3 linked regions of the Callithrix jacchus genome follow. The protein of the gene in region 3 purifies or fractionates together with the protein of the main gene of each other region. This does not show direct contact. Links are inferred from orthologs where the notes say so. Each region holds a gene or a part of one and is shown on either strand. Other genes may lie near its edges.

Evidence for each region.
Region 1: the proteins of SLMAP (region 3) and STRN purify together in Homo sapiens (affinity purification with mass spectrometry; 5 studies listed by BioGRID and IntAct, with this or other methods). This does not show direct contact. The link is inferred for Callithrix jacchus from reciprocal best matches to the Homo sapiens genes SLMAP and STRN.
Region 2: the proteins of SLMAP (region 3) and PDCD10 purify together in Homo sapiens (affinity purification with mass spectrometry; 3 studies listed by BioGRID and IntAct, counting the BioPlex papers as one, with this or other methods). This does not show direct contact. The link is inferred for Callithrix jacchus from reciprocal best matches to the Homo sapiens genes SLMAP and PDCD10.

Annotation. Positions count from the first base shown.
Region 1 is NC_133515.1:78,085,772-78,091,897, forward strand, and holds part of STRN (striatin), read left to right. Parts: intron 1-2,101; coding exon 2,102-2,269; intron 2,270-4,901; coding exon 4,902-5,037; intron 5,038-6,126. UniProt on the Homo sapiens protein: Calmodulin-binding scaffolding protein which is the center of the striatin-interacting phosphatase and kinase (STRIPAK) complexes.
Region 2 is NC_133518.1:19,309,534-19,315,759, reverse strand, and holds the start of PDCD10 (programmed cell death protein 10), read right to left. Parts: upstream 3,661-6,226; 5' UTR 3,573-3,660; intron 3,401-3,572; exon of another isoform or gene 3,226-3,400; intron 1-3,225. UniProt on the Homo sapiens protein: Promotes cell proliferation. Modulates apoptotic pathways. Increases mitogen-activated protein kinase activity and STK26 activity. Important for cell migration, and for normal structure and assembly of the Golgi complex.
Region 3 is NC_133516.1:39,559,290-39,565,160, reverse strand, and holds the start of SLMAP (sarcolemmal membrane-associated protein), read right to left. Parts: upstream 3,729-5,871; 5' UTR 3,375-3,728; coding exon 3,177-3,374; intron 1-3,176. Other genes in the region: uncharacterized protein LOC144579547, read left to right, coding at 3,729-4,718. UniProt on the Homo sapiens protein: Associates with the striatin-interacting phosphatase and kinase (STRIPAK) core complex, forming the extended (SIKE1:SLMAP)STRIPAK complex.

The sequences.
Region 1 (6,126 bases), on a different chromosome or scaffold from region 3:
AACACATGCTTTATCGATTGATTGATTGATTGCGTGCTTGATTGAGACTGAGTCTCACTCTGTTGGCCAGGATGGAGTGTGGTTTCACAATCTTGGCTCACTGCAACCTCTGCCTCCTGGGCTTAAGTGATTCTCCTGCCTGAGCCTCAAAAGCTGCTGGGTCTACAATCGTGTGCCACCATGCCTGGCTAATTTTTTTGTATTTTTGTAGAGATGGTGTTTTACTATGTTGGCTAGACTCTTCTGGAACTCTTAACCTCAAGTGAGCTGCCTGCCTTGGCCACCCAAAGTGCTGGGATTACAGGTGTGAGCCACCGTGCCTGGTCAACTTTCTTCCATAAAATATTAATATGTATTTGAGACAACAAAGAGTAAACAAAGATGGATTGATCTGATATCAGGAGGTAGACTAGATTCACTGGCTCAGTGCCTGGTTCTTAAATACCACCTTTGAAATGCCCCAGTAAAGGAAATTTGCTACCTGTTGTTTGAAGACTGATTATAAGTTGTTTAAACCCAAGGTTTCCAAAGTAGATGTATAGCAGTTATTCCTTTCGACTATAGAAAGAGAATCTTAAAATGTCTTCACATATCTATTTTTTAATCTAAACAGAAGAAAATGAGATATTTTCTGATATTTAATAAGTGGATTTTTACTAATGCCCACGCTTTGATCTTAAATATGACTTATACATCTTTTTAAAATAGGTGTGTTCTTAGAATGCTAATTTTTTTTTTAAAACAAGAAATGGTTTCATAATGAGCTATACAAGAGATGTTTTCAGAAACTTTGAAGGACCCATAACTCTTCAGAGTAAAGGTGTCATTTTATCAATGAATGAGGAAGTAACTATTTAGTAAAACCAGCTTATCTATGGCAAGAGCAGTTTCAAAACAGGTATTTGTAATATGATTTTGTTGCCAAAGTGAGGTATGTCTCAAATATTATTGTTAAAAATGGAAAAATATAACATCTTTGAAGCAGTTTTCAAGAAGAACTTTAAATTTAGGGAATTTGGGAATTTATTATCTAAATTTTAATTGAGACCTTTCTATAAATATCGGATAGGATTGAAAAATGAGCATCTTGATCTGATAAGATAAACTTACTCCCTTTGATCACGTATATTTTTGAGATAGGTCTTTCAACTGTAATAACCAAGACCAAATCTTGCAATAAACTTAATTTAAACTGCTTATCTCATCAACCTTTGTTTTCTTCTTTCATCCAGTAGACTCAGTGCCTGCTTATAAGTTTGTCTAGTGTTTGTCTATCATGTTTACTAATGGCATTTACCATTTTCATGGTCCTGCCACTGCCACTTGGGCCTTTTTTGGTCAACTTTCCTGTTAATATGTATTGAATGCGTTTTATATGCCAAGTACAATATTAGGTATGTCTGTTTTAGGGGATAGAAAACAGGTTCAGGAGAATTAAAGTTATGCAAGTAAGTGGCAGAAATAGGACCTAGACCTAGCTCTCAGTACAAAGCCTTTGCTCTTTTTCTTTGCCACTGCCTTTCAGTAACATACACACATGTGTGTCCACACCCCCTACATGCCACAATTTAATTGCGGTCTATTTTTATTTTAAAGTTGTCTTGGGATAGAAGCTTCTATACTGTAGAGGTGACTCAAGAAATCCTCCCTTCTTGTGTGTAATGAAGGAGACCATATATGCTAGGAACATTCTGTCTATATCACAAACAATTGATACATGACAAATGTAAAAAAAAAAAAACTATTGGAATAACTATTATAAAATACTAATTTGGTAGAGTCTGGGAGTGAGCTAGCTCCAATCTAGCCTAAAGGAAAGAATGTGCTATTAGATATATTAAAGACCAGCTTCTTCTTATGGTAAATGTAATGAATGGTGTATTGTATGGTTCTCTCATTTTTCTCAGTGACTGTAGAGGCTGGTACTGCAAGAGACAGCTCCATCTGCAGCTGGAAGATTATTTATTAAGTCTTACTAGCATAGTACTGTACTGTTAAGTTTTATGTGGGCAATGAGTTTAAATAAATGCTTTTATTTATATATTAAATTATAGAATACTGATTCCAGTATGACTGAACTGTAAGGATCCTCTTCACACAGGTATCTACAGGAGGTGGGTTATACAGATACTATTCTAGATGTGAAATCTAAACGAGTGCGAGCTTTGTTGGGCTTTTCAAGTGATGTCACTGACAGGGAAGATGACAAAAATCAGGACTCAGTTGTAAATGGCACAGAGGCTGAAATTAAAGAGACAGCAATGATTGGGTAAGTATTTTGTCTGGGAAGTGTTTTAGCTATAATTAGTTCTTATTAAATATTTTTGGTTTTATGGGCATTATTTGTACTTTCAGGTAGTGACATAGAAATAATTAAATTATAATTTAATAAAAATTCTAAAATTTTGTTTGGTTAGAAGTTAACACATAAGGATTGGAGTTATTCTATTTTAATTCAAGAATACTATTATGATATTTGCTTCAAATTTATGTATTTATGTATTAATACATAAATATACATAATAATATATGTAATAAATACATAATCATAATTATGTATTAATACAAATTTTAGTATATTGTCCTAATCACTAAATAAAAGTTCAGAAAACATTTTGTTTGGAAATTCAGTACAATATGTAAGAACAAAATTTCATGACTGGTGATCCAGAAATCACAAAAGTACCTCAAATTATTTAGAAGTAACCCTGCTTTTAGCCACTTTTGTTTATCTCATAATGCTGTAATTTATCTTTCCTTTGATATAAAATATGTGTTACAAGTGACAGTGTAAGTGTGAAAAATTCATTAGCTATTTGAAATATTTTGTTTTCCATTTTGGATTATGTATCATACAATCATATATAATTCTACTTAAAATAAGCATAAACAGATCAATAAAGAGATTTTTCTTTATTGGAAAAAAACTTCCATGATTATTACTTGAATAAAAAGTCAAAAATTCTGTGAATGTCTTAGTATGGTTTTTATTTTGACACTTGTTTAGGAAGGAAGAATGGTTTTAATTGAGCTCTATAAATTTTCTGGTGAGAAGATAGTTCCTGTTATTTGGAATATAAACTAAAATTATGGGATTAGGTAAAGGTTCACTGTGGTACTTTTATAAACAAAGGTCTGTGAAGCCTTCTAAAATGTATTCGTTAATAATTAAGAATACATTTCCAACTTTTAAAGCTACATTGAAAAAGTACATTAACTTGTATTTGTAAATGTAAGGCATGGTATTTCTCTGTATAGACGAAGGCCGTGTGGACATTATCTATTTTTATGTTATGGGTCAACATAAGTCATCAAGTTAACTTAGATAGTATAATTTTTTTTTTTGAGACGTTTTCTTTGTTTCCAGGTTGGAGTGCAGTGATGCCATCTTGGCTCACTGCAACCTCTGCCTCCCGGGTTCAAGTGATTCTTCTGCTTCAGCCTCCTGAGTAGCTGGGACTACAGGCATGTACTACTATGCCCAGCTAATTTTTGTTATTTTTAGTAGAGACGGGTTTTCACCATTTTGACCAGGATGGTGTTGATCTCTTGACCTCGTGATCTGCCCACCTCAGCCTCTCAAAGTGTTGGGGTTAGAGACATGAGTCACCATGCCTGGCTGATAGTATAAATGTTTTTAAGAGCTATAATGCATACTTTAATAACCTTCAGTAAAGACTTTCAGGGAAGACCACTCGTGTGTGTTTTGACCTTGATCTGTCCTTTAAGAATGACCAGGCTATTGCTGCTAATCTGTCAGATTTCAGTAGGGATAAAGGGTTAGGAGAGGGTGATAACCAAACACAAAGCTCTAAGCAGATTTGAAATTTAAGATAGATCTGTTTTGAAAATTTTGTCCATAGTAGTTTTTATATATATATAAAATATATATATATATATTTTCCTTCGAGAAAATGCTCTGTCTAAAAGATTACCTGATGAACTGGAGAGAAATCTTTTTGTTCTGGCCATTGGAACCTTTAATACATTTATTTTGAGGGAACTAAATTCAAGTCATATATTTGAAAATTCAATTATTTCTAAAATATTAATCGTTTATTAATCAACAGGGTCAAGTCTTAAAATAATGTTAATTTGACTAGTGTATTGCTGTTAGTAACTTTATGTATACATTTTCTCTTTTACTTTAGTTCTAGAGCCGAAATACAAGATTGTATCAGAGAAAAATGACATATTTGTTATTTTCTTAGTTGTGGAAACTTATGTAAGAGGTCAAAGAAAGTTGCAGAGAGGATAAGAGTAGAGAAAAATGGAGGTAGAGATAATAAACATATTTTTTAAAAAAATACATTAAGATTGGTATAAGGATCAAAATAATACTGAATCAGGAAGGGGAGTTCTTTACATTAGATTACCACTAATTTAAGTAAATATGAGTGGCCAGGCATGGTGGCTTATGACGCCTATAATCCCAGCACTTTGGGAGGCTGAGGCTGAGGTGGGTGGATCACTTGGGCTCAGGAGTTAGAGACCAGCTTGGGCAACATAGTGGAACCCCATCTCTGTTGAAAATAGAAAAATTAGCTGAGCGTGGTGGCTCCCCCCTGTAATCCTAGCTACTTGGGAGGCTGAAGCTGAAGAATTGCATGAACCTGGGAGGCAGAGGTTGGAGTGAATTAGATCATGCTACTGCACTCCAGCCTGGGCAACAGAGTGGTAGGTAGGTAGATAGGATTACAAAGTACTTAAAAGAGTATCTACAGCCTGTATTGCTTTTTAAATTTATCTGTGAGAATGTAATTAATAAGAATCAATGTAGATAATGTGATTTGGGATTTATAGTTACCATATAAACAGAAGTTAATGCGACATATCATGGGTTAATTCTTATATTGAAGTTAAAAAGATTAACTAAGCAGGATATACATGTTTTACACCAGAAAATCTGAGTTAACAGATTCTGCCTCCGTGCTGGATAATTTCAAATTCCTTGAAAGTGCAGCTGCAGATTTCAGTGATGAAGATGAAGATGATGATGTTGATGGAAGAGAGAAAAGCATCATTGATACTTCAACAGTGAGTTAGATAACTCATACAATATTAATATTTTTAGGGACTGTAATACATACTACATAATGCATAAAATAATCCATGTTCTTTAATCTTAACCCCTAGCTTTTTCATTTTCATAAATTTGGGGCAAGTTTTTTATATTGATTTCAAATTAAGAATATTTTTTGTATAGTAGCTTTCTCTTGAAATTCCTCACTGTTTGATTTTTTGTTCATTCATTGAACAGGACAGTTTTCTATGGGGCAGATGAATATAGTAAATACTGTGTGTTATAACAATACAGGGTTATTGGTTGCTATAAGAGAATAGAACTGACAGACACATTATGGTGCCTGATGGTGACTAGCATCACCTCTAATATATGCAGTTTTTGTCTTGTCAGGATTGTTTTGGTAGACAAATTCTGCAGACTTTCAGAACTCTTCCATTAGATTTCTTCACAATTGTGTAGGGTTCTTCTCAAGTTTTGTTCAGAAGTTTATAAGATTATTGACTTTCCCATGGCAGTTTCTTGGAATGAGAGATGTCTCTTAGTAGCCACTTCTTCTTTCTCTTCCCTTCTCTATTTTCTTCTCTTCTTCCCTCTTTCCCCTTCTCTGTCTTTACTTTTCTCCCCTTCTCCCTTCTCTCACTTCTTCCTTCTTTCTCCTACTCCTTTTCATTCTTTTTTAAGTAAGAGATGAGGACATATTTTGCTTTGTCTAGGAAAATGTTTACATTTCTCTTCTTTCACATTTATTTGTGAATAGAAAGGAAAGTAAAGTAATATAAAGCCGATTGGACCTCTAGCTAAAAGACTGTGGTTAAGCTCCAGTTCTGCCACTATTTGTGTTTCTTAATGCTTCAGGCTTAGTTTTTTCATTTGTAAAATGTGGATTGTAATAAATAACCATGTTTACCATGGAGGATTTTGTGAGGAATAAAGAGACACTATGTGCGAAAATGATCTATTTAACTTACAAAGTGCTTTTTAAGTGTAACCTCTCTGTTTTTTATGCCTTCTGCTTCTTGGGCTCCATCAGAGACTTTCAAATTATTACTGCGAGATTATTATTTTCCTTGACCACTATTCAGTAGTACTTTGCTAATACA
Region 2 (6,226 bases), on a different chromosome or scaffold from region 3:
GCTGTGTTACACAGTAATTTTGCTGTAAATGAACGTGATTCCTTTATCATTTTCATTTAGAAAATTATTCCTGATTTCAGAGACCTCCAAAAATACACATTTTTCTAAAGTTTATATTAAAATTCTGTCAATGACTCCTTTGCATATAACCTAAGTTGCCTAAGTGTTACATAGCTCATTTTAAAGTTCTTATATATTTCAATCCATAAAGCCTATCTACTTTATTCATTTCTATATTTCTGTCCCCAGAAAAGTGCTGGAAGCATTGTGCATGAATATACTCCTTCATTCATTCAGCAAATATTTACTGAACCCTTACATTGTGCCAGGTACTACATATGTGTTGGGGTAAAACATGACAAATGAGAGGGCACTGCTCAGGTAGCTTATAGTTCAATGAGCACACAAATATTTGTTCAAATAAAAACAGAAATAATTAAGTTTCTATTATGATGATGCCACAAAGGTGTAGAGTATGGTGAATACACAGGGGCAACCTGTGCTGGTTTTGGGTAGGAAGGCAAGGCTCCCCTGAGGAATGATATTTAAATTGAGACATGAAAACTGACTACCAGGTGGCCACATTTAGGAAGGTAAGAGTTGAACTGTCCAAGGAGTGAGATGGAATATGTAAAGACCACCATGTCAGGAAGCAGCTTATGCAGTAAGCGAAAGGCATCATAAATGAAAAAGGCTGGAGGTAAGGATGGAGAGCTGGATAGGAGAAGAGATAAATTTTTAGTGTTAAACAGAGTAAGTGGGTAATAGTATTTGAATATTTAAGTCACATTAAGTCTTTTTCTCATGTAAATAAGGGAACTAAGTCTCTACTCCACAATATTAAAGATCTGTAGTCAGAAGATCTCAATTTTGTCTTGCTCCCACCAGTTAAGTAGTTGCATGACCTTGGGCAAGTTACTTAACCTACTTGAGCCTCTTCATTCTCTTTGTAAATATTATCTTACCTATTGTGACTACAGTGATAAATAATACACAGCACCTGTTCTTACAGACCTTACATCCTTAAAGAAAAAGACAGATGTATAATACATGGAAGACATCTTAAGTCCTATGAGAAATAATGTCCCGAAGCTGATATAAGGCTTCTGCAAAGCCCAAAATGAGAAGAAATGCAGACACTGGTGAGCTGCAAACTACGCTTAGAATACATGTGTATATATAACTCTGTGAACTCTTTAACTATCCAACCAAGGTGCAGAGATCTAAAGTGACCATGATACTCCAGCATGTGACTGACTGAAAGATGATAAATACAATACAAACATTAATCCACCAGCCCAGGAGAAGAAATGCCGAAACTATAACTGGCCTCAGAGATAAAGAGAAATTAGTGTTAGAACTGAAACAAGAAAACGAAATCTAAAATACACTGAACAAATGCATTATATTAACTTATTTCCAAATTTTCCTCACAGTTCAAAAGCTCTTTCCATAATGACATAGCTACATGCCAAAGGTTAGAACTCATTTTATACCTCCTTCAACAAAAGGCAAATACCTACACTGTCATCTAGAAAATACATTAATATTCTTGCTTTACCATCAATGATACATGTTCAGTTTATGGTCTACTTACACTACCGCAGCCTTCTTAATCCAGCAAGATTAAGGATTATTAATCCTTCTTAATAAAGAAGTCAATTATCTTCACACAATGTTTCATTTGTTTAACTGATTCTTTCTTGTCTGTGTACTATTATTACTCATGGCACATTATTCCTGATTTTACTTCATTCTATAGCACCATAATTTTTCTATTTTAAAATCGCATTAATTTCCAGACCATCTTAATTTCAATCATCCAGGAACATATCTCTGTTCCGAAAAAATATTTTTGCATTAAAAAGTGAAGCACATTGTTGATACTAAAATAATTGCAGAGTACATTCAAAATTCAGCATAGTCGAATGATCAACTTGTCTATAAAACAGTAACCTATGACTTACTACATGCTAAGAATAAGCCATGATTTTCTACATGCTAACCTTTATGGATCTAAAGTTAAAACAAAGAAATTCTACCATCAATGAATTCTATTACAATTCCCTTAAAAACTTACCCAGTAATAACAGTCATGAGATATAACTGGTCATAACAATTATAGCGGATAAGACTGGCACAGGGCACTACTTTCTCCAAGATATAAAATATAAGCGTACTTTTAAAAATTCTTTAATGTAAAACAAGAATGACTTAAAAGTCACAGATGATGCTAAGAAAAAAATATGCAAGAGTCTGATTTTATTATTTGCAGACACACACATACACAAAGAGCCTAGAGTCAAGAAAATGGGGGAAAAGTAAAATCTCAAACGATAGGATCTTACCTCTAAGAAATGCAAAATACCTTCTTTTCTAGTAATAAGCACATTAAACTCTCCTAAGGCTACATTATTTGGAAAAGGTGTGAAGTCTTGTGAAAGAATTCCAATCCCACTATTATCAGTTTTACAAAATGAGAGTAAAAAGAGTCCTAAGGTAGAAAAAGAATATTCTATTAAGGAAGGGATACATTGTTTAACTGTTGTTCACCCATCCCTTTACCTACCCTTAAAAATGAACTGTGAGAATAGAATATATTTTAATACACCCCCAATAAAAGGGGGAAAATCTGTAAAAGTTGAAATTGACCCTTTTTATTTTTTCCAAAAGGTTCTTTCCTTTATTGAGGAATTTCACTTCAGTTCAAGAAACAACTTTTCATCTCACAATGGCTTCTTAGATGTACTATATGAAATACATTTACTTTGCAACTTCCTCCACCCTTTTCAAAAAACACAACCAACATCCCCAATCTTTCTCTGTCGGGCAGCAGCTCTGGTTTAGAAGCTGGACTCGAACCAGACTAGATTGAGAAAGTCTGTCCCTCCGTGTGTGACCTTGGGCACGTCATATAATCCCTCGGTTTCCTCATCAGCATCCCAACATGAAAGCGCTCTGAAAGCAGTAAAAGAGTAAACATACCTTAGGTATGACACCTAAGAGGGTCAAGCCTTTCTGTTTAAGGCAAAATTACCTCCTTAGAGGAGCCACATCATTAAACTGGAACTGAATCCGTAGACCACAACATTTGTCTCTTCCTTCTTCCAGTGCTCCTCTTCCCTCAAAGGGCATAACCCTAGTCACCCCAAGAGCAGACTCCCAAGCACCCTTTCCTTCCTCCTCCCTTTCTCTTACAAAGCAAGGGGAAAACAACAGCCTCACCTCTCCGTCCGAAGCCACACCTTTAAAGAACCCCACCCCAGGCACATCCGCCCTCTCCCTGCTCCTGGGGCACCAGGGGCCAACCTCGCCTTTCCCCTCCCGCCCCCACCCAAAGGAGACTTCCTGGAGGCGTTCGGGCCCAAGCCCGCAGGCGGCATTTACAAACCGGCTTTACGCCACTCGCGTAGGGTAACCTCGCTTACGCCCGTAGGGCCCCGCTCCCAGCCCCGTCCGCTCCGCCTGCCAGAACCAAGCCCGAGTGCCTCAGCTATGGCCCCTACGTGACCCTAGACCTCTTCTGCTCAGTGGAGAGCTACGGGGACTGGGACAGAACAGCTACATCTTACCAGCAACTGAGGCACTGACTTCACTTCCCACCTTTGCAGCCCTCTTCAACTCCCGGATCAATTCACTCCGGCGACGCCGGAAGGACCCGAGAGGAACCAGGCGTTGTCCGGAATCCTGCCCAGTCGGAGTCGCGCAGAGGCCTATGGGGACTCGTAGTCCTGCTTGCCGGTGTTGTCCGTAATTCCTGCACTCGGAAGACTACACTTACCGGCAGGCCGTGCGGGGGAGCCTGAGGTGATGGGTGGGGACACTCCTAGCCAATAGCAGGATAGTTCCCTTCCTTTGCGGGAGGAGGTGAGAAGAAAAGAGATGGTGCACGGATAGGAGAGGAAGGGCGGGGCAAACCCTCACCTGCGCCAATCAGGGTGCGGGGTCGGGCCGGCAGGCGCCTCACCCATTGAGGGGGCGGGCTGACCGAACCGAGGAAGGAAGTGGGTGAGGGGCCCGTGGTGGGGAACGTGGGGCTATCGGGCTGAGTATGCCTTGCGGGTAGAGAGGAAGCCTCCGGGAAATCTCCCGGGTGAAGGAAGGGCTTGGTGTAGGGACTTGCACTGGACGGAGGGGCAGCTTCCCCAAGAGCAGCTAAGCCCCACGCACGCCGGGGAACCTGACCCACGGGTCGGGGAGGGATCGGCTGAGCCGGGGCTCCCGGCAGAGACGCCTGGGTGGGGCCAGAGGCAGCTCCAGGTGTGAGGCCACAGAGGAGGGGAGAGGGACCCCCCCCAGGGGAGAGGAAGTAGCAGAGCAGCTGCAGAAGTGCGGGGAGCGGGAAGGTACCAAGGCAGCTGCTTTCCGCTGCCTCTGGCCCGGGCAGCTGCAGAAACAGCAGGGGGAGGAGCAACAGCTGCCAAATTCGCCAACTGGAGGACAGGGAGGCGGAGCTTGGGTCCCCGTAGAAGCCGGAGGCGCAGTCTGGGCTGTAGTTTCCCGGGAGAGACGAAAGCAGGAACGAGCGCGGAGCGGAGCGCAGCCCTCCCGGCACCAGCTCCAGAATCCTGACAGGGGTTGCAGGTGTGTGGGAGGTAAGCGCGGGGCGGGGGGGGGTCCTTCTTCGGGGCGTCTGCACTGCCCTGGAGGAAATGTTTTCCAATGGGAATTACAAGACACAGCTATAAGAGTCCGCCTTGGGTTAGGAAACCGGTGCAAACCCTCTCGGGTGAAAGATTTACATTTTTGGACTTTAAGAGCAAAAAAGCAAAAGGAAGCTTGATTCTGGGCATAAAGGGCGTGGTTAGTGTTTTTGGTTTGAGTCGCACCAGTACAACTGTTCTGGGAGATCTCAAGATTGAGAAAAACCCTGCTAATAGAGGATGAGGTGGATGTTATCTGGTGGATGTTATAGGTGCGTAGCCTCTAAAAAGGAAAAATTGTGCTATTGATATAGAATGACTTCCGAACTATTTCACTAGGAAAAGAACTTTGCGTTCTTCTTCAGTGTCTACCCTTTACATTGGTTTATCAGATTGTCCTGCTACCGACCTGTTATCCAGAGTAGTTATTTTGCAGGTTCCTAGAATTGCAAGAGATCCGTTTTAAAGAAGCAAATGCAGGCAGGAATAGTCAGGATAGGATGGGCTCTGACTTAATCTATCAAAAGTGTAACTTTTGCCAGCAATAATGTAAAAATGAATTTTAATGAATGGATAGTTAGCTTTCTTTCCAGTGGCTCTGTAATATTGGAACAAAGACCTGGATTCAGCGTACAATGGGAACATATGGTGTACTTCACTGCTGCTCCTTATTCTCTCATTTGTGTCTGATAATATGTGTACATTTGAAAAACAAGAGTGCATAGAAAGCTGTATGGGAATCTTTTCTCTGGTTAGAGAGTATGCACTTAAAGATTACCCTTAATATGTGTTATGATAGTGGGTTCAGATTTAAAACATGTAGTGTCATAAAATAATAGTTTATTCTCGGTATTAGACCATATGTGTATTCAAAGCAATGTAACTGTAATACCTATGGATGGAAATGTGTTGTCATGCCAGGTAAAGATGCAAGTCTCACCTACCTTTGTGTAATTATGACAAAATTACAGCCTCTTATTTTTAGAGAAGTAGTAAGAAGCTATTTTCCTAGTTCATTTTCATTTTGTTACAGAGGTTCCCAGATTACATGGCTTTTAATCATAGTAGCATATTGCAGCAAATTTTGCTCTGAAATGCCTTCATTGTGACAGTTGTATATTTCGGAGTCTGTCTCAATACTTTAATCTAGATTTTTTTAAATAACTAGGGTCAATAAAATGGAGTAATTGCCTTGTTTTCTCCTGTTTCTATGCTTTCCTGAGTTCTCAAGATTTTAAATGTTATTTTTGTAATGCATTCCAAATTTCTTTTTGAAAAGAAATGGCTCAAATGAATTCTCTTCCCAGCTTAAAGTTCAGTCCTACTGAGTGCTACTACCGATAAGCCTAAGTGACTTAGTGTATAACCTAGTGTATATACTCTTCCCTCCCGCACTCTCACATACCATAGAAATATATAGACAGATAGATCTTAGGAAAACAGCTGCTTTTTTTATTACCCCTAAGCAGATCAGCTAAGTATCAAAAACAGGAAAAAAAAAAAAAAAAAGCAACCTTTTTTTGCTTAGAAGAAGGAAAAAGCAGCAGTAGCTGCTAAACTTAACCACTGTTAAGGATCAGGTT
Region 3 (5,871 bases):
ACCCTCCTGCCTCAGCATCCCAACTAGGACTACAGACACTGCAAATTTCATACTAACAAGAACTATTTGGTCACATTGTAAGTTTTCTTTGGAAGTGTGTCCCTCACAGTGTCTGGCATCTAACAGATGCTCAGTTAAAATCTTCTATCTGTCCAAACCAAAACTTTAAATAGTTAATTCCTAAAACAATTTGATGACATGGTAAGATCTGACAGAGTATATGCTCTAACTAGATTAAGTGGTATAATAACAAATAATTGACCAGGTGAGATGGGTCATGCCTGTAATACCAGCACTTTGGGAGGCCAAGGAGGGCAGATCCTGAGGTCAGGAGTTTGAGACCAGCCTGGCTAACATGGTAAAACCCCATCTCTACTAAAAATACAAAAATTATCCGGGTGTGATGACGTGCGCCTGTAATCCCAGCTACTTGGGAGGTTGAGGCAGGAGAATCACTTGAAACCAGAAGGCAGACGTTACAGTTAGCCAAGATTGTGCTATTGCACTCCAGTCTGGGCAAAAGAGTGAAAATCCGTCTAAAAAAATAATAATAATAATAAATAATTACATCTACACCTAAAGTAGTAGCCTCATAGCCTGCGTGTTATTTTAGGTAATAAAGCAGAAGGGGGAAAAAGTGAAAATGGTAGAAATAAACCATATCTACCCCTCAAAGATAAGGTTTTTTGAAAGAACAAATTTCATGGCCGGGCGTGGTGACTTACACCTTTAATCCCAGTCCTTTGGGAGGCCATGGCAGATGGATCACTTGAGGTCAGGAGTTCGAGACCAGCCTGGCCACGTGGTGAAACCCAGTATCTACTAAAAATACAAAACTTAGCTGGGCATAGTGGCACATGCCTATAATCCCAGCTACTCAGGAGGCTAAGACAGGAGAATCACTTGAACCCAGGAGCCAGAGACTGCAGTGAGCCAAGATCATTCCATTGCACTCCAGCCTAGGCAACAGAGTGAGATTCCATCTCAAAAAAAAAAAAATAACATATCATCTCAAATCATGAAACAGTCACTATTGATCTATTCTTAAGTATCTCAAAATAACCTATTGTGAGAGTTTTAGTACAGCCAATGGAAAAGACTATGTATGAAATCACTGTTTGTCAAATAAGTACAAGAAAAAATCTGAGTCCCCTTTGAGTGTTTAATCAAAGAAAGTGCATTTGCAGGAGGGGGTGCGGAAAAAAAAAAAGAAACTGTATTTGCAGAGTATGTCCTGTGAGCAAACCTGTTGTCTGATTAGTTTAGACCTGTTGCCCAAGGACACAAAATGGCAAAAATGTAAAAGCTGGTTGAATTAAGGCACTACCTAGTATGAAACTGATGTTTGAATTCAACTGCTAGAAAAATGGCGTCTATGAATATTCATTTTAAAGAATTATGAGAGCCAGGTGTCATGGCACACACCTGTAATCCCAGCACTTTGGGAGGCTGAGGTGGGGGGGGGGGGGAATCAACTGAGGTCAGGAGTTCGAGACCAGCCTGGCCAACATGGTGAAACCCTGTCTCTACTAAACATACAAAATTTAGCTGTGCATGGTGGCATACGCCTGTAATCCCAGCTACTTGGGAGGCTAAGGCAGGAGAATCAGAGGTTGATTCTCCTGGAAGGCAGAGGTTGCAGTGAGCTGAGATAGTGCCACTGCATTCCAGCCTGGGTGACAATAGCAAAAAATCTGTCTCAAAAAAAAAAAAGATTGCAAGTAAAAATCTGTCAAAAAAAAAAAAAAAATATATATATGTATATCAAGTAATCTATGAAGTATTTTAGGCACCCCTAACCAGCTTGGGGGAAGGGTCTGTTCCACAGGTAAATGAGGAACTGGTGTTACACAGAAAAGTTAACATACTCTTCAGTTCTCATGCTACACACACAATATAGATATTATGGAGCACACATAACTCGGACAGTCTTTTCCTCCTTTCTTTAAAAAATAATAAAATATTTCCTTAAATCAGTAGCTGCCAAAGTTATCATTTTTTTCTCTTCCTTTTGAGGCTCAGGTTTCTTTCACTTCAAAACATATTCTTGAAGACTTAAGTTCTTCCTTTAAGAAAGATTTAATTATTTAACTCAGAAAGAAGGGGCAAAAAGTCAGGAGGTGAAACCTGAGACAGTCCTATTAGTCTTACATAACTTAAAGTTGGAACTGATTCAGTAGCTCGGCTAAAAACCTGAGGTTTAGGCACTAAGACGAGCTCTTTAGTATACTCTCCACAAACATAAATAGTTTTTAAAAATGGAAATGATCCTATCTTTTTTCTTCATTCTTAAAAGCTCATACATGTATAGTAAGTCATGATACTAACGCAAAAATGCTAAAAATGGTTACACTTAAAATGAAAAGCACTGAATTCATCCTATCACATTTAAGTAACACTATAATTGAAAGACTAGGGTGTAATTTCAGAAAATAAGTTCACTTCCTAACACTAACTTTTGCATAGCACCTCTGTAAGTATGCAATAAGTACTTAATAAGTGCTGCAGGGAACATCAAAAAGTGATTTTCAAATGCAATATATGTATGTGCAACCAACTTGTAAAAAAAACTCTCAATATATATAAAGTACAGTTCTCATGCTTAATTAAATTAGCTTTGATTATTGCAAATGATTCCTTCAAGAGCAAGTATATAGCAAACCTTTCAAAAATCTTAGGTTTACACCAGCAACTGTCCTTACTTAGAAAGGTCTTGATCTGAACTCAACTAAAGCTATGTGTTAACTACATTTCACCACAAAGACACCTGAGCACCAGGGTAATAATGGCCACGGATTCCCCGAATTGCTTTGAGAACTGCTGCTTGCTTAATAAAGAGCTGAACTGTGAATTCACCTTTCTCAACAGACTGAAAGCAAGACGCCAAGTTTCACAATCTAGTTTGGGATTTCTCTGGGAATGACTACGTTATCAAGATGCCATAGCTCTCCTGAGGCTTTTAATTACAATACCTTCTCTGTTTTCCATTCAACCACCTCAATCAAATTTCCACTAGAACCAGGCACACAAACAGTTGATTCCTGGCTTTGCGCAAAGCCTCCTGTGGATGCAAAGCCTGGGATCCTGCAAAAGTCAGGCCTTTCAGGGAGGGCAAAGGTGGGGTGGGGGAGGAGTTTGTTAAACAATGCAGTTGGACAATGTGGTGGTGACATTACCTTGCCTGTCTTGTGATCAAACCAGACGAGAGCGTGGTTCCTTGACAGCACTTTGCAATCAAAAGTGGCATTATTCTGCGCTGGTCGACAGCGGGCCACTGAACGGCCGATTTTGATGGGCTCGTCCAGGTAGACATGACGCTCCTGAAACGGGTGCGAGTTTGGGCGGCAAGTGAAGATGGCCAAGGCTGACGGCATCGAGGATAGGCTTGGGGTGTCTCTCCTACCAGGGACAAAGAGGAGTTCCTCCGGATCCGGGCTGCCCTTCACAAGCCTATACCCCTATCCCACCCAAAATTTTAAATTAAAACAAACTGCACATTGTCTATGCATAACCAGTGAACATCAACAACTCTTCACTTGGGTGGGAAGACAAGCCAGCGCAAGCCCCATCACCTCCTCCAAAACCCAGCAGTGCCCTAATCACGAAAAGTCCCCAACGGGCAGCTTTCAGTCCATCTTCCTCTCTGGGAAGAAACGGCTCAAACATCGGGCAGCTTCGGCCAAGAAAACTCCTGGAGCACAGTTTGGGGACTGGAGGTATCCAAGCAGATGAGTCACACTCCAATTCTTGTGTTTGGTTTGAGATCGCGGCCGCTTTTCCCCCTCGGTGGCGGAAACGCTGCAGCACTGCAGCATGAAGGAAGGGTCGTGGTTCGGCGCGGCCAGGAAAGTCCTTTTGGGCCGAAGGAAGGTGTGGCCGGGCACCTCCGGGCAGCCACCGCCCGTGCTCGCCCGGAGTGGAGGGCGAGAGGTGACGGAGGCGGAGGGGCTCTAAACGGCCGGCGGGACAGTCTGCATCGCCCCTGCTGCGCGGAGGCCGCCCCGGGAAGGGGGACTCGGTCCCCGGCGTGGCGAGGCGGCAGTGCCTGGGGTCCTCAGCGCGAGGCGTGGGGGCCGGCGGGGCGCGAGCAGTGGCCAAGTCGGGACTCCTGGGCACCTGGCGGGTGTCCCCGCGACCAGGGCGGGGACCCGGCTCCGCAGGCCGGTGCGGACCGAGCGAGGCGCGACACCGGGAGGTTCGGGTTCTCGGGCGGCAGGAAGTTGGTCCCCGGACGCCTGGGCTCCTGGTCGCCGCCGCTCAGCACATGGGCCGCCTCCCCTCAGGGTCGCCCCCGCGAGGGTCGCATCTCAGGGACAGCAGTCGCAGCTCCGGGCGGACGAGAAGGTGGGGGAGGGAGACTGGCCCGGAGGTTAGGGAGAGGCCTGGAGGCCCCGGGCTGGGTCCGCCGCAGCCTCCACCGATCACGGCCAATGGAGCAAGCTCAAGCTGCGCCGGACGAGGCAGGAAACTTTCCGACCTGGTGGGGAAAATATCAAAACAAACGGCCGTCAGGCGCCTCAGCCCGCCCGCCTCAGCCCTCGCCCCCTCCAGCCAGACCCCCGCCAGCTCCCACCGCTAGGCATGACCTCCGCCGACCTCTCCACAAGCGGGCTGCGAGGATTTGGAGGCAGGACGCCACGACGGGTTCTACCTCCCTAGCCGCCACCGCCGCCTCAGCTTACCTTGCCAGCGCCGGCCGCCATAGTGACTCTGACTGAAACCTACCGGGTACACCGCCACGGGAACGCGCTCCCTTCAAGGGCCCTCCTACCCCCTCTCCCGCGCCGTAGTCCAGGAATGTCACGTGAGCGACGCCACGGAAGCCGTGTTGGTCGAGGGCAGAAAAACGGGCAAGCTAATTTCTAACGCGCCTCTAGGCGCCATCTTATTTAAGGGCTGGAAGCTTCAAACCTCGGGACAACCACAACGACCATTTTCGTTAAGGGCAAGAACAATTCGCGCGCTAGAAGATTTTCGAAACAAACCGTGCCACCTTCTTATTTTATCTACTTGGAAAGGAGATGCCAACCTTTGCTAAATTTTATTCGCTTTAATCCTCGATGAAAATACTAGTGAGCAAAAAGCAGAGGCGGCCAAAGGAGATGGTCATAAGCAGCCATCTTAGCTGTGGGCAACAGAGTCGCCCGCAGCCACCTTAAGTGTGAGCAGCCAAATTCCCTCAAGTCTTAGGATGTTCGCCTAACCGAAGGACCATCCTCCCCTCTGCTAAAGTTTTCTCTGTGTTTTCTTCCCGGAAAAAAAACGCTTAGTTCCCGCATTACGCTTCGAAAGACAGCCCTTCTCACCGGACCTCGTATGTGCCCCAGGGCTCCTACGCGGATTCTTCCACAGAAGGAGCGTGCAGAGAGTTTAAAATAGTGTTGCTTCCAAAGAGAGATTGAACAATTTCCAAAACGAAGAAAGGGGGTACTGCCCCCACTTACTATCAAGATGAGGAGTCATTGGTCTAAAGAAGAAAGACTGCAAAAGCTAAATGAAAACGTCAAGAAAAGATAGGAGTCTTACTCATTTAGAGTCAAAGGTGACTTCATTCTTCAGATTCCTGCGACAACAGGCTCCACCACTGTGTGACCTTAAGCAAGTTTCTAAACTTTTTCAAGCCTCTTTTTTCTCATCGATGACATGGAGATAATAGCTAACTGACTTGTGGTGAGATTTCAAAGTGTTAATCCATGTTGTTCAATAAGGAGTAGCAATTATTCATTTCAATACTTATATATAGACAGTTTGGCCCCCTAGGTTTTTGATGGGCCCTGGGGACCCACAGGTAAACCAAACTTTAATTCCAGCCTTCTGAGAGCATAACGGTATGGTGGGTCAGAGATGGGGGTAGGGAGTGACAAACATAAA